Macaca fascicularis: one gene and its partner. The protein of the gene in region 2 purifies or fractionates together with the protein of the main gene of each other region. This does not show direct contact. Links are inferred from orthologs where the notes say so. Each region holds a gene or a part of one and is shown on either strand. Other genes may lie near its edges.

The links.
Region 1: the proteins of HECTD1 (region 2) and URGCP purify together in Homo sapiens (affinity purification with mass spectrometry; 4 studies listed by BioGRID and IntAct, with this or other methods). This does not show direct contact. The link is inferred for Macaca fascicularis from reciprocal best matches to the Homo sapiens genes HECTD1 and URGCP.

Annotation. Positions count from the first base shown.
Region 1 is NC_088377.1:86,378,641-86,386,050, reverse strand, and holds the end of URGCP (up-regulator of cell proliferation), read right to left. Parts: intron 5,326-7,410; coding exon 2,732-5,325; 3' UTR 1,985-2,731; downstream 1-1,984. UniProt on the Homo sapiens protein: May be involved in cell cycle progression through the regulation of cyclin D1 expression. May participate in the development of hepatocellular carcinoma (HCC) by promoting hepatocellular growth and survival.
Region 2 is NC_088381.1:98,926,263-98,933,672, forward strand, and holds part of HECTD1 (E3 ubiquitin-protein ligase HECTD1), read right to left. Parts: intron 5,053-7,410; coding exon 4,851-5,052; intron 3,166-4,850; coding exon 3,028-3,165; intron 2,717-3,027; coding exon 2,109-2,716; intron 1,114-2,108; coding exon 1,035-1,113; intron 942-1,034; coding exon 848-941; intron 1-847. UniProt on the Homo sapiens protein: E3 ubiquitin-protein ligase which accepts ubiquitin from an E2 ubiquitin-conjugating enzyme in the form of a thioester and then directly transfers the ubiquitin to targeted substrates.

The DNA of each region.
Region 1 (7,410 bases), on a different chromosome or scaffold from region 2:
AGGCTGATGCAGAAGGCAGTTTCCTCTCCACAAGCCTCATGGGTGTGCAGAATGGTGTAGACACAGAGATGGGTGCCTCACTTATCTCATGCACAGACTGGCTCTTCCACCACAGGGCAGGCACTGTGTAAGCATCTTCCATTCCTACAAAGGTGCTAGTAGGGGGAACTAAGGCTTGGAGAAGCCAAGTAACTTTGCTCAAGGGTCATATAATTAGTAGGAAGCAAGGCTGAGGTTCAAAACCAGGCCAGACATCCAACATGCTGAAGCAAGCTACACCCCATCTCACAGGAGAAGCAAAGACACGCCTGGTTCCTTGTCCCAAGCACTCTTCCGGCCCATTTCCTCCAAGATAGTACTTGCTTGGTTTGACACTTTCATCAAACAGGACCCCTTGTGAGCAGACGGCCATGCTCTGGTGAGCAGCCTGCTGCCCTGTCCACCTTTCTGGGTGGCTCTCTCTCTACTAACCTTGGCTCCAAGAACATGACTGTCCAGTAGCCCCATGGCAAGTTCTGGGGTTTCTCAGACCTGAAGGTGAGCATTTTGAGCTCCAGATATGAAAGGCAAGTCCTGGGTGTTATGTTCATTGGAATCCTAAGAGCAGCACTGACTGGAGGGCTAAAGGCAAGGCCCATCCACAGTTCACAGACTTGAAACATCAATCTTTCAAAAAGGGTGGGAGGAGGCCAGGTGCGGTGGCTCACTCCTGTAATCCCAGTACTTTGAGAGGCTGAGGCAGGCGGATCACTTGAGGCCAGGAGTTTGAGACAGTCTGGCCAACGTGGTGAAACCCTATCTCTACTAAAAATACAAAAATTATTTGTATTTTTGTGATGGTGGACGCCTGTAGTCCCAGCTACTTGAGAGGCTGAGAATCACTGGAACCCAGGAGGTGGAGGTTGCAGTGAGATTGTGCCACTGAACTCCAGTCCAGGCAACAGAGCAGGAAAATGAAAAAAGGGAAAGGTTTTCCTAAACTTATTAGCAAGAGACCAGGTTTGTGGAGAACCAGGCTCCTGGAACGCAGGAGGCAACAGTTTGGATGTCCCGGGAGCAGCAGGTGGAGCATCCAGGGAATCCAGAAACCCACAGCAGGCAGGCTGCCAGGCATCTCCAGAAAAGGGACCAGAAAGCCTTTTGTTCAAGAAAGGATTCCAGTCTAGAGGGCTGGTGAGCTACCGAGAGCTAAAGGCTCCCTTGCTGTGTCTGGTGAAAGGAGGACAAGAAACATGGTAGGAGCTCTTGGGAAAGGGCTTGGTTTCTCTGAAGTCAAGAAACACAAAGAGAAAGAGGCTCCAACGTCTAAGCAAGGCCCAGGGGATCAAGCAGAGCTTCCTAGAGCTGATGAAAGGGCTGGGGTGGGGTTCTGAGGCCCAGTGAGGTGACACTGGCCCCTGGGAGGGGCCAGTGCAGGCAAGGATTCCAGCAGAACTGACAGGGCAGAAGTCCCAAGTTCTTGGCCAAGCCTCTGGTTCGAATGGTGGGTTGTGGATGAGGTCGGGGAGGATGTCAGAGGAGGCGCTGGCACTGACGTGGCTGCCCAGGGGTAAGCCCAGAAGCTATGGGAGTCTGGAGAGGGTGAGAGGAAGAGGTGCAGGGCTGAGTGTGACAGCACCACCCCTTATCCGCTCTAGCTCTGTCCATCCAGATGTGAGCTCTGGGGCAGGGGCTTACCTCCTCTAGGCTTCCTTTTCCTCAACTGTGAAATGGGGTGACAATGGAAAGACCTCAGAGTTACTGTGAAGGTATTTAGTTTTAACCCCCAGTAACAGCCTGAAGAATGGCTCCTGCCTTAAAGAGAGAGAACAGGATGGCTTTTTACTAAAATGTGCCAGGATAGGGCACATCTCTACCCTATCTACCCTTCCAGATACTGCCTCTACCATACCCAGTCCTCAGACAGATGCTGCTCTCCTCTTTGAGAAACAGAATTAAGGCACAGAGAGGCAGAACCTGCCCATTACTATCACTTGTGCATTCATTCATTCAACAGACATTTATTAAGCATCTATAATGTGCCAGGCCCTGGGGACACAGAGCTGGAGAATGTACAGTCCCTGCCCTCAAGGAGCTCACAGTCTGGGGGACAGACATGTAAACACATGAGTTACAACGCGCTGCGTGAAGTGTGTGGCAGAGGTATAACAAAGTGCTGTGGGGCACAACAGAGCGACCAATGAACTTTTCCTGGGCAGGGGTCAGGGAAGCCTTCAGTCAATAAATACAGTGCCATGGGAGTGCCTTGTGCACCACGGGCACTCACATCTCAAATGCTGGTCCACTGGAGGCCCTTGGGCTGGGCGGGAGCAAGGCCTACTTCTGCTTCCTCAAGACAACTTCCCCACCTCTGTCCTGGGACCACCTGCCCGCCTGGGCCTGCAGTGACCGAGGACACTGCTCCCACTCCAGGGGCCAGTGACAGAGAGCAGCTATACAGAGGGCCCACCCCGTGGGATCCTTGACAGGAGCTGAGACAGAACAAACTGCTGCGTGTCTCCCTACCCTGGGGGTTGTGATATTCCTGGTAACATCTCTGAGCTGGTCTGTGAGGTCACTTCCTCTCTTAACACTGTTGAGGAGACTCCAAACCCTCTGTCTTTTGCTTGTCTTCTCATGTCGATTGGGCACCGGCCATTCTCAGGCACCAGGGCACAGCCCACACGGGTGCCCCATCAGACAGGGCTGCTCACAGCAGCCTCCTACACCTGAACTGGGTTTCTCTGCACACTCACAGCCGTCTCACCAGCTCAATGAGCTGCTGGATGTTTTTGTTTTGGTTCGACAGGCCGTTCCTGATGTTTTCGAGTAGGCATCTCTTCAATTCAAATATGGCTTCACTGTAGGCCAAGCTCACTGCGGCCATGGGAGGTGCTCCGTGCCACAGGCCAGGGATGTGCCAGATGTGCTGCTTCTCAGGGTCACAGAAGGCCAGGCCTGCCAGTGCCCGGAAGCCGTCGCTCTGTTTCTCCATCTGGGCTGCAGCCCTGCTCAGGTCACCAGGTGGATCTAGGAGCTGTCTCTTGTCTCTTGGCCTGGGGCCGGGAACAGATACATCATGAAGGTTCTGGTATACAAACTGGTAGTTGGGCATGTGCCCCGTTTTTTCTAACCTCAGAAATGCATGCAGAATAGCTGCTGGAATGTCCTTGGTTTCAGCTAGGCTGATCACGGTGACATTGCTCAGTCCCATGAGCAGAGTGGCCAAGGAAGCCTCCAGCTCAAACCTGTCCCCAGCTGAGGTCAAGGCCCCACCTATCAAGCCCCCAGAGTCTATCACCAGGATGTGGTCACAGCCCAGGTCCTGGCTGAAGCCCTCGGCCACTGTGATGAGCTGCATGAAGGCCCCTCGAGGACTGCAGCTCTTCCCTGTGGCAAACCGCAGCCCAAACATGGTGTTGAGGAGTGTGGACTTGCCCGTGCCCGGCACCCCGAGGGCTGACAGAACCACCAGCCTTGACCGTCTCTCCAGTCGGACGTGCAGCTCCTTCAGGAGCCCCGTGACCCAGCGGACGGGCATGCTCAGGGTGCTCCCATCGATTAGCTCCAGAGGCAGCCCTGTCAGCAGCAGCTCCGAGGCCAAGCCTGGGAAGTGGGCAAAACGCCTCTGGCCTGCTGGCAGCCTCCCCGCCTCCACAAGACAGCTCTCGGCCTCATAAAACTGTCCCATCTCCCGCAGGAAGTGTTCCACCCCCAGGGGCTCAGGCCAGAGCAGCTCCCCCAAGTCTGTGGCGCCCCCATGCTTTGGTCTCAGGGTGAGAAGTGTCTCCGGAGGCTGTCTCAGTCGTGGCTGGGCCACCCGTGCCAGGCCCCACTCCATCCACCTCAGGAAGTACTGCTTCTCACTCAAGGAGGGGCTGCTGATCCCCGAGATGAACTCCTGCACCCCCGAGGAGGGATCGTGGCTGTTCTGCTGCATTCGAAGTTCTAGCAGCCGCCGCCTCAGCTCAGCCCTGTGCTTCTCAGGGGGGTCCACGGCCCACTGGAGCTGGCAGAACTCCTTCTCCACTTGGGCTGCCTTTCTCCAGGGGTCCCCCTGCAGCCTCAGCTCATCCCTTCTGTAGGCATCCGAGTCTTTGATTTTCCTGGTAATCCTCTCCATCCGGTCTTTCGCTTTCTGACACTCCTCACAGTCCTCGTCAACCTTTAGGCCGAGCTTGCGGGCTGCGTGCGCCATGTCCTCCACAGATACCCGCCTGCAGGGTGCCCGCAGCACATTCCCAACAATGGCCCGGATCCTCTTCACGAAGCTGTCGCTGTCAGTGCTGCTGACCTTCACCAGGACATGTGAGTGGTCTATTTTCAGCACAGGAATTAACTTATTCAGAAATCTCAGGTTTGTGTTGCGCTTCCCACGGTACGGACTCAGGATGAAGTAGTATTTTGTGGTTGACTCCTTCATGGAGTACAGCAATTTGTATTCCTTCTTACTGATATTGTCAGTCAATATAAACACAGCGGAGGAGATTTCTGTCAAGAGCTTAAACTGCAGCCAGTGAGACCCGATGTCACCTCTCAGGTTCAGAAAGGTCACAGGTTCTGGAAAAATGTCCAAGTCCTCCCTTCCGCTGGGAAAAAACCAGGAAATTTCTACCAACCCATCCGAAATCTCCCGGGCATTGGTGCCCAAGTTGAGGTCCCGATGCCAGAAGCAGTCCCACTGCCTGTGGCCCGGGCTGAGGACGGCGTTGAGAAGCTGGGACTTGGAGTTGCTACTGACATCCATGCGCACAAAGGCGAAGGCGGGCGCCCTGGACAGGACCACGCTGTCTTCCCGGAAGCTCCCCACGCCCCTTGGGGGCTGGGACCACCATGTCCTCACAATGCCCCGCATGGCCCACAGCAGAAATGTATGGTAGTGGTTCTCCGAGTCAGGCAACACGAGTGGGAGTGCAAACTGGCAGAGGGCCATTTTCAACACTATTTCTTGTTGCAGGAAACTGTCTGAGGAGATCAGCAGGGCACAGAGAAGGTCTAAGGGGTTCACTGGCGTATCAGGGGTAGGCAGCTCAGAAAAGGAATAAATGTCGGCAGCAAGGTCATCAGCTGGGTCCCAGTAGATGATCTCCTCTTCCATCTGGCTCTCCTTCTCCACAGGCCTGGCATCTGGGAGCACGTCCAGCACCATGGTGGTATTCCTGGCATCAGCATTGAGGGCCTGCAGCTTCCTGAGGAAATTCCAGGGCAAGTCTTTGGGAACCTGAGGGGCCCAGTTCTTCATACTGTCAAAACTGATCTGCAGAGAGTCCTGAAGGCTGAGTTTCTGGACCTGGTACATCTCTAGGCCCAACAGTGACAGCATTTCTTGAAGCCTGCTTCTCTCCACTGTGGAAAGAAATGAAGACATAAGTGCTCACCCTGTGTTTCTGAGCTAAGGGCCAGGCAAGAGCTGGTGAGGGAGAGCCCAGCAGGATGGGGAGAGTGATGACCCCCTTCAGAGAGCAGAGTGCAGGCACAGGAGGCTCAGGGTGTGCTCAAGGCTGACCTGAGACCAAGGCAGGGCTGGAACCTGACATCAAGGTACAATAGGTACCAACCTAACCACAGATATATGTAACATTAAACAAAAGAAAGAACAGAAATAGAGAAGCTACATTTAACAATTGGAAGAGTTCTTGCAAAAGCCAGATTTCTGGTCTTTCTAGAAACCTGTAAGATCTAACATTGAGCTCCAAATTAATTGGCTACAGTGAGCAGCATATGACTCCTAGAAGCTGAATGCAGGCCTCATCTCCCACTGTGTCGTTTCTGTGACTCAGAGTCACTGGGAAGTTCCCACAGGAGTCATAATCACTGAATCACTCTCTGGCTTTCTAGTTAATGCTTTTTTGTTTGTTTCTTTTGTTTTGTTTTTCTCTCTACAAATAAGAGAATATTTTAAAGGAACTAGAAAGAAATCACTAAGCATAAAGAGTCAGCAATCATAGCTAAACAACCATTTTGCAAACCTGAAATCAATAATGCAGGTTTTCTTTTTTTTTTCCCCCTTTCTTTTTTTTTAGACAGGGTCTTACCCTGTTACCCAGGCTGTAGTGCAGTGGCATGATTTCAGTTCACTGTAGCCTCAACCTCCTGGGCTCAAGAGCTCCTCCCACCTCTGCCTCCCAAGTAGCTGGGACTATAGGTGTGTGCCACCACACCCAGCTCATCCTTGTATTTTTTTGTAGAGATGGGTTTTTGCCATGTTGCCCAGGCTGGTCTCAAACCCAAACTCAAGCAATCCACCTCTCAAAGTGCTGGGATTATAGGTGTGAGCCATGGTGCCTGGCTTTAATGCAGTTTTTAATTTTAAATGTATTAAAATATTCAGTGCAGACTGTTAGTAAGTGAGTACTTATTTGCAGATACTCAAACATCACCCTATACAATATAAAATCTTATAAGCTAGATGCTTGGAATAGTATTGCTACCTCTGAAGGTTCCACCCACCATCCCAGGTCTTGGCCCAGCACCTTCCTAAAGTTCATGCTGCATATAATTAGTTCTCTTAAAATTTGTTGTTGTGGGCCAGGCGCAGTGGCTCATGCCTGTAATGCCAGCACTTTGGGAGGCCGAGGCGGGCAGATCACGAGGTCAGGAGATCGAGACCATCCTGGCTAACACGGTGAAACTCCATCTCTACTAAAAACACAAAAAAAATTAGCCGGGCGTGGTGGCGGGCACCTGTAGTCCCAGCTACTTGGGAGACTCAGGCAGGAGAATGGCATGAACCCGGGAGGCAGATATTGCAGTGAGCTGAGATCGTGCCACTGCACTCCAGCAGCCTGGGCAACAGAGCAAGGCTCCATCTCAAAAAAAAAAAAAAATTGTTGTTGTTGTTGTCTGAGACAGTGTCTCACTCTGTCACCCAGGCTGGAATGCAGTGGTGTGATCACAGCTCACTGCAGCTTAGACCTCCCAGGCTCAAGTGATCCACCCATCTCAGCTTCTGAGCAGCTGGGACTACAGGTGCACTAGACGCTTGGCTAGTTTTTGTATGTTTTGTAGAGATGGGATTTTGCCATGTTGCTCAGGCTGGTCTTGAACTCTCTGGCTCAAGTGATCTGCCTGCCTCAGTCTACCAAAATGCTGGGATTACAGGAGTGAGCCACCCCGCTGAGTCACTTTAAATGTTAATGCATGAAACAAATACAAATTCCACTGCCCTGCAGCCTTTTTTCCAGTTCCTTTCTCAAGAGAGAAAATGACGTGTGTGATGCTGCTTTAGATTTTTAGATAAACATGAAAGGAAACACTGGGTGACCCAGCCCTCTGCCTGTTTCCCAAGAAGGTTAAGTGATGGATTCAAGACCACCTCCCATTCAACCAGCAGGACTCATAGTGCTGGACACTCTGCTCAGAGAGTTCCACAGGCAGTGCAGCCACAGGACTGCCCCACAGAACATTAGGCGACCTATGAACTTGTTACAA
Region 2 (7,410 bases):
CGCCAGCAGTTTCTGTCATACAAGTCAGGCAAAACTGTGTTCTCATTTTCAGAAGTGATTTACCATATAATATACTCGTTCCCATCATGATTCTTTCATGGTTTAATTCATCCTGATCAAGTAATCGAGAATGTATGCAACCCATGTCCACTTTCTTTCTTTCTTTGTTGAGGCAAGGTCTCCCTCTGTTGCCCAGGCTGGAGTGCAGTGGCACAAACATGGCTCACTGCAGCCTCAGCCTCCCACGCTCAGACTATTCTCTCACTTCAGCCTCACAGGTAGCTGGGACCACAGGCACATGCCACCACATCTGGCTAATTTTTTAAAAAATGTTTTGTAGAGATGGGGTCTTGCCGTGTTGCCCAGGCTGGTCTTGAACTCCTGGGTTCAAACGATCCTCCTGCTTCAGCCTCCCAAAGTGCTGAGATTATAGGCGTGAGCACCACCACACCCGACAACCAGCAATTCTTTTTTTTTTTTTTTTTTGCGACAGAGTTTTGCTCATCACCCAGGCTGGAGTGCAATGGCATGATCTCGGCTCACCGCAACCTCGCCTCCTGGGTTCAAGCGATTCTCCTGCCTCAGTCTCCCGAGTAGCTGGGATTACGGGCATGCGCCACCATGCCCAGCTAATTTTGTATTTTTAGTGGAGATGGGGTTTCTCCATGTTGGTCAGGCTGATCTTGAACTCTCAACCTCAGATGATCTGCCCACCTCGGCCTCCCAAAGTGCTGGGATTACAGGCGTTAGCCACTATGCCCAGCCAACCACCAGCAATTCTTGACCATAATTTCAACTGTCTCAAAGTCAAAGGAGAGCAATTATGCTAAAAATCCTTTAAAATTACCTCTAAAGGCTTCCATTTGTTTCTGAATACCTGTATGCATACAAAAGTCAAACATCAAATCCACATATTCTTCTGCATTATCCATTGTTATCATCTGCAAAAGAAAATCTGTCAGTATCTAGAAATATTTCAGGAGTGTCTAGTACAACTGGCTTTGCTAAGAGGATATTTCAGAACTTTTTTTTACCTCATCTTCACCACTTGGCTTGAGATCCACAGCTGTGAAACCATATATTCTTGAGGAAGGGCAAAACTGGAAATTTAAACTGGGAGGACAAAAAAGATTAAATTAACTGACATGCAGCTACTACTAAGGGTGTTTAATTTTTATAACATGACTATCATCTGCCATCAGTGGGTACAAGAGAAAAAATTAAATAAATATAATAACATGGCTATCAAAACCATAATTCCCAGCCCCTCCTCCTCCAACAAAATCAGTACACCAGCTTAGAAGAAGTCGAGGCCTTTTTAAATGCAATATTCTATGGACAAAATCTACTAGGCCAGCTGTTACCATATCTGTCTGGCTTTGCGAAGATTGCATGAAACCACCTTTCTATATTTTACTTCTAACTTATGGCACAAAATTAATTAACTAAAAATTTTGCAATTAATTATGATGACAACGTTTATAAGTCTTTTAGGAAGAAACTGTTGCTTCACTGAAGTCAATCATGCTATGTACAAAAATATGCATTAAAAAAAAAACCTTGACTATATAACCATTTATCAAACACAGCTTACCAACATTATCAGCGAACATTAAAAAAAAAAAAAAAAAAAAAAAAAAAGGCCTTGCAGTTAACCTAAAACCACAGCTGAAGATATGATAATTACCTGTACATAAAGTAACAGAGTTTTATCAAAAGATCTGCAGCATCTCAGCTACTACAGCCATTGGTGATAAAGCTGACATACCAACCAATTTTTGAGCTTTGCAAAGTGGGCCATATATTAGCAGATGAATTTGTCAAAATATTGTTGACTCTAGACATTTTACACAGGCATATAAATTCACATTGGCTAAGTCAAGTAATCTTCTAAAGGTCTGATGATTAATAAACTAATATTCTAGTATTCTGAGTGTTGTCTTTATAATATTAAATCAAGGTTCAAGTCGATCATCAGTATTTCCTACAGCATATTACTGTTTTTGACAGACTGTTTTCTCATATATTGCAAATCAGTGAGGACAAAGAAACAAAAGCTTTAGAACTTATTCATCCATTGGATTGAAGAATGTACATATAATGCTTACCCTAAATCCTCTATGCTAAGTGGAGGCCCAGAACCTGATGGATTCTTCAGCACTAGTTCCTGTAATTTTGTGTTCTTCTCATCTTCAGAAAGACCTTTGTTGCTTAAAATTTGGCGCCTCTTGATAGCAAGGTCTTTAATTTCTTTTAAAAATCTGGCTCTGTGTGGGTTTACTAATTCAAAGTCTTCCCAAGTCAAAATTCCATTAAACCAAGCCGGGGGTTTTGGTTTAGGGGGATCAAGAATAAATTCTGATTTTGAATCCTCTTCAAAGCTTCCTACTGAGAGTGAATCATGACCTTCTTCTGTAGAAGCTTCAGACTGACTTTCAGTACAGTGTAAGTCTCTATCACCTCGTGACTCATAAATCAGTTTACTCATATTGCTTTTAATGTCACCCATACACATAAGTTTAAAAAAAGGTTTAGAAATAGGTAAGTCCACAAGTCTATTGTCTTGAATGCATTTGGCCAAGAAAATTCCAAGGAAATGAAACAGTTTCGTGATCCTTTCAAGCTCATCACTATCCTGTGGAAATGGTGCCGTGAACAGTCCACATGACCTCTGCACATAATATCCAGGAGGTTTCAATCCACCTCCAAGATCAACCTAATTTTTTAGAGGGTGAAATGCAAATAAAATTAAACAAAAGGTAATAGAAACTAAGCCTATCATCATCTAAGAAAAAAATCCATAAACTAAACATCTTCATGAATTTGGCTATCTAAAAGTATGTAATTTTATTAAATAGCTTTTGGTGACTAAATTTTATCGCTTTAGAAATATTTTAGTTGTATCAAGATTATTCAATAATAAAAGTAGAGTCAGAAACCTGGCTTATGTTCTGAACACATAACCTATTTTTAACACTTTTGAAAACAGAGTCACAACTCAAGTCACAAAATAAGAAATATTCTTACGTGACGAGATTCATCATCTGGAAAATTATCATCACAAAGCCAAGCTCCCAAGTCAGTTCTCTGGAATTCCGCTGCCACCAGAGCATAAAACTCTAATGTGGGTCCCAAGCCAGTTCCTTCTTCTCCTAAAAACTCAACCTAAAATATGAACAAATAAATTGTGGGTTAAAATAAAGTTTGGGGTATTTTTAAAATAATCTAATTCTTGCCAAAATTTATCATATCTGATCCAGTAATATACCTTTTTTCAAAATAGCAGTGTATATATTATAAACAGCATAGGAGTGTTATTGTAATTTTTCTGAAGAGTCCACCTGTACACTATTACATGCTTAAGCACTGTGCCAAGCATCATTCACACATTTACTTCTCACGACAACCCTGCAAAATAATTATCTCCTTTTTACACCAAAGGAAACCAAATCTCACATAAGGAGGTGAAATAATTTGCTTGAAGAAATGATGGTGTACAGATTTTTGTGTGTGTCTGTGTGACACCAAAGCCTAAACTCTTCCACTTTTTTACTTTTCTTGAGACACAGTTTCACTCTTATTGCCCAGAATGGAGTACAATGACACAATCTCAGCTCACTGCAACCTCTGCCTCCCAGGTTCAGGCAATTTTCCTACCTCAGCCTCCCAAGTAGCTGGGATTACGGCATGCACCACCATGCCTGGCTAATTTTGTATTTTCAGTAGAGACAGTTTTACTGTGTTGGTCCGACTGGTTTCAAACTCTTGACCTCAGGTGATACACCCACCTCGGCCTCCCAAAGTGCTGGGATTACAGGCATGAGCCACTGCGCCTGGCCTCTTCTGCTTATTTCTGAGTTAAAGACGCTTTAAATCATTTTTGCAACAGGAAAAGCATGGACAAAAACCTTTAAAGTGATTGCATAAAGTATCATAAAAACTATAGCATATGGTTAAAAAAAAAGATTATCTAAATTAGAAGAATGTAAGCAGCTGGGCATGGTGGCTCACGCCTGTAATCCCAGCACTTTGGGAGGCCGAAGCAGGTGGATCACTTGAGCCCAGGAGTTTGAGACCAGCCTGGGCAACACAGTGAGAACTTGTCTCTATTAAAAAAAAAAAAAGGAAGAAGAAGAAGAAGAAGAATGTAAGGGTAGGAGGAATAACACAATGAAAGTCTGTATATAAAGTGAAAGACGTAAAGCTTTGGACATCTTCTAGAGATGTATCATATTTCTTGCAATTAGTTTATGATCCAAAAGTTAAAAACAAACCAATTGGTTTCACCCCTGTGACAGGAGAGGTATTTCCACTCTTCCTCATATGGGGAATACTGTGTATACGAAATATAACCAACAATGTCCACAGTAACATTTCTAAACTAAATATATTAAATTTCATACTGCCATTTGCTATAACATCTCTCAACACAGACCAGTGATATAATACCAAGCACAATTTAAGTGAAACAATATTACAAAACCAAGTGCTCCCAAAATATCCAACAGTGCAGTTTAATATAAGGGTCAAAAAGAATCCCTTGTGAGTACTATTATTTTAGTCCAACTTTGTTATGAAATACGTAGAAGCCCTGAGGCAGAACAAGCACTTTGCCGCCTCAAGAGTGGAGATCTTCTTTGTTGCTCATTAATGGCGCAAGACCTAACCCCTAAGGAGGTGGACTGACATCCTCTTATGAAAAAGATGCTCTGCCAGAGAAGGCTTCTGCTGACAGAATAGGAAAATCCCTCTTCATGTTTACCTACCACAGTTTTTAATGCAGTGAAGACACATTGGGCTGGTTCCCTAAGTGTCATTCCTGTTCCCTAAATCTAATTTTATGAGATTACCTCAAGAACTGATTTCCGATCTGCATGTATTTGCATGACATTCTCAGCCCATTCCATCAGTGATTCGCCACGTGGAACCTTTACTCTTTCATGCTTGAGACGACCAACTCTAAACTCTCCAGGGTCATCTCGCCTAACACTGCTTGTGGTTCTCGTTCGTTCCACAGTGGCTTCACGTCGGTTTTGTAACCACACTATTGCTCTGAAATAGAAAAATATCTATGAGCTGCAGCATATATTAACAGCTGAATGTACTACTAAACCAGCAACAGAATTCAAAGATTTAAGAAATTAAAAAATAGTATTTTATCAGGTGATTTTTAAAACACAGTAATCTTTTTTGTTACATAAATTGCTTCCTTTCACAAGTAAAAATATATGAAACTCCTTTTATTATAATCTGCCTTAAGCAAACTGAGAAAGTACTGGGTCTGTGTTTTCCCTCCTTATTTTAGCAGTTCAATAAAAATAAAAATCTGTTGTCCAGCCCCCAACATCATTCAAAAAAAGGACAAATGTTTCCTATCGGAGAAATTTAAAAATGATTAAGCTATCTTTCAGACTGAAAGCTGTCAGGCCTCTGAGCCCAAGCTAAGCCATCATATCCCCAGTGACCTGTACATATACATCCAGATGGCCTGAATCAACTGAAGATCCACAAAAAAAGTGAAAATAACCTTAACTGATGACATTCCACCATTGTGATTTGTTTCTACCCCACCCTAACTGATCAGCGTACTTTGTAATCTACCCCACCCTTAGGAAGGTTCTTTATAATCTCCCCCACCCTGAAGAAGGTTCTTTGTAATTCTCCCCACCCTCGAGAATGTACTTTGTGAGATCCGCCCCATGCCCCCAAAACATTGCTCTGAACTCCACCGCCTGTCCCCAAACCTGTAAGAACCAATGATAATCCCACCACCCTTTGCTGACTCTTTTCGGACTCAGCCTGCCTGCACTCAGGTGAAATGAACAGCCATGCTGCTCACACAAAGTCTGTTTGATGGTCTCTTCACATGGACACATGAGACAAAGGCCACCATCAATTATAATTTTAAAACAATTTTTCTTTTCTGTTTTTTTGAGATGGAGTCTTGCTCTGTCACCCAGGCTGGAGTACAGTGGCATGATCTCAGCTCACTGCAACCTCCCTATCCCAGGTTCAAGTGATTCTCCTGCCTCAGCCTCCCCAGTAGCTGGGATTACAGGTACGTGCCACCATGCCTGGCTAATTTTTGTATTTTTAGTAGAGACGGGTTCTGCCATGTTGCCCAGGCTGGTCTTGAACTCCTGGCCTCAACTGATCCACCCGCCTCGGCCTCCCAAAGTGCTGGAATTACAGGCATGAGCCGCCACACCCGGCCACATTTTCTTTGTTTTAATAACAATCCATTTATGGTGGGAGGAAGAACCAATAATTAGGAATAAGAAGCTGAAGGTTCTATTCTCATGTGTGCTACTATTTTTTCATGATCTTAGGCAAATTAACTAAGTACGTGCAGAATCAATTTCCTCATTTATAAAACAGAAATTATTATCAATGCCAGTTATCACAACATGCCTATAGTTCTATGTATATAAATGCTTTGTAAATGGCATTAAATGGTACAAAAATGTAACTATCAAGGAAGAAACACAGTTTAAATTATAACTTTTTTAACAATTATTTTGAAAGAGTACTTAAACAATCATTCAACAAAATATTTATTGAGCACCTACAGTGAGTGAGTCTTGCTCTGTCGCCCAGGCTGGAGTGCAGTGGTGCAATCTTGGCTAACTACAACCTCTCCCTCCCGGGTTCAAGCAGTTCTTATGCCTCAGCCTCCTAAAAAGCTGGAATTATGCCCAGCTAATTTTTGTGGGTTTTTTTGTAGAGATGGGGTTTCGCCATGTTGTCCAGGCTGGTCTCGAAATCCTGGCCTCCAGTGATGTGTCTGCCTTGGCTTACCAAAGTGCTGGGATTATAGGCATGGGCCACTGTGCCCAGCCTGGAAACAGAAACTTTTTAAATGTTTTCTTTTTTTTTGGTAAATCATTTCTTCCATGATTATTCAGAGGGACTATCTTCAAACCAGTACAAATATTTCGTAAATAATATCAGACCATTTTCTAACCAATTGAGTAATTTGTTGCACAATAAGCCATCGCACATCTTTCAGCAAGAAATACATTAAATTTGAATAGTAAAGACACTACACAATTAGGCTTAGGACACAATTATAGTTTGCCTTAAATATTTCTTTGGGGGAGAGGACACCACACTTCTACTCAATGAAGAGAAACATTTTTACAGTCCAGAGGTCTTTTATTTTTTATTTTTTTGAGACGGAGTCTTGCTACATTGCCCAGGCTGGAGTGCAGTGGCGTGATCTCGGCTCACTGCAAGCTCCGCCTCCCAGGTTCACACCATTCTCCTGCCTCAGCCTCCCAAGAAGCTGGGACTACAGGCGCCCGCCACCACGCCTGACTAATTTTTATTTTTAGTGGAGACAGGGTTTCACTGCGTTAGCCAGGATGGTCTCAATCGCCTGACCTCGTGATCTGCCTTCCTCAGCCTCCC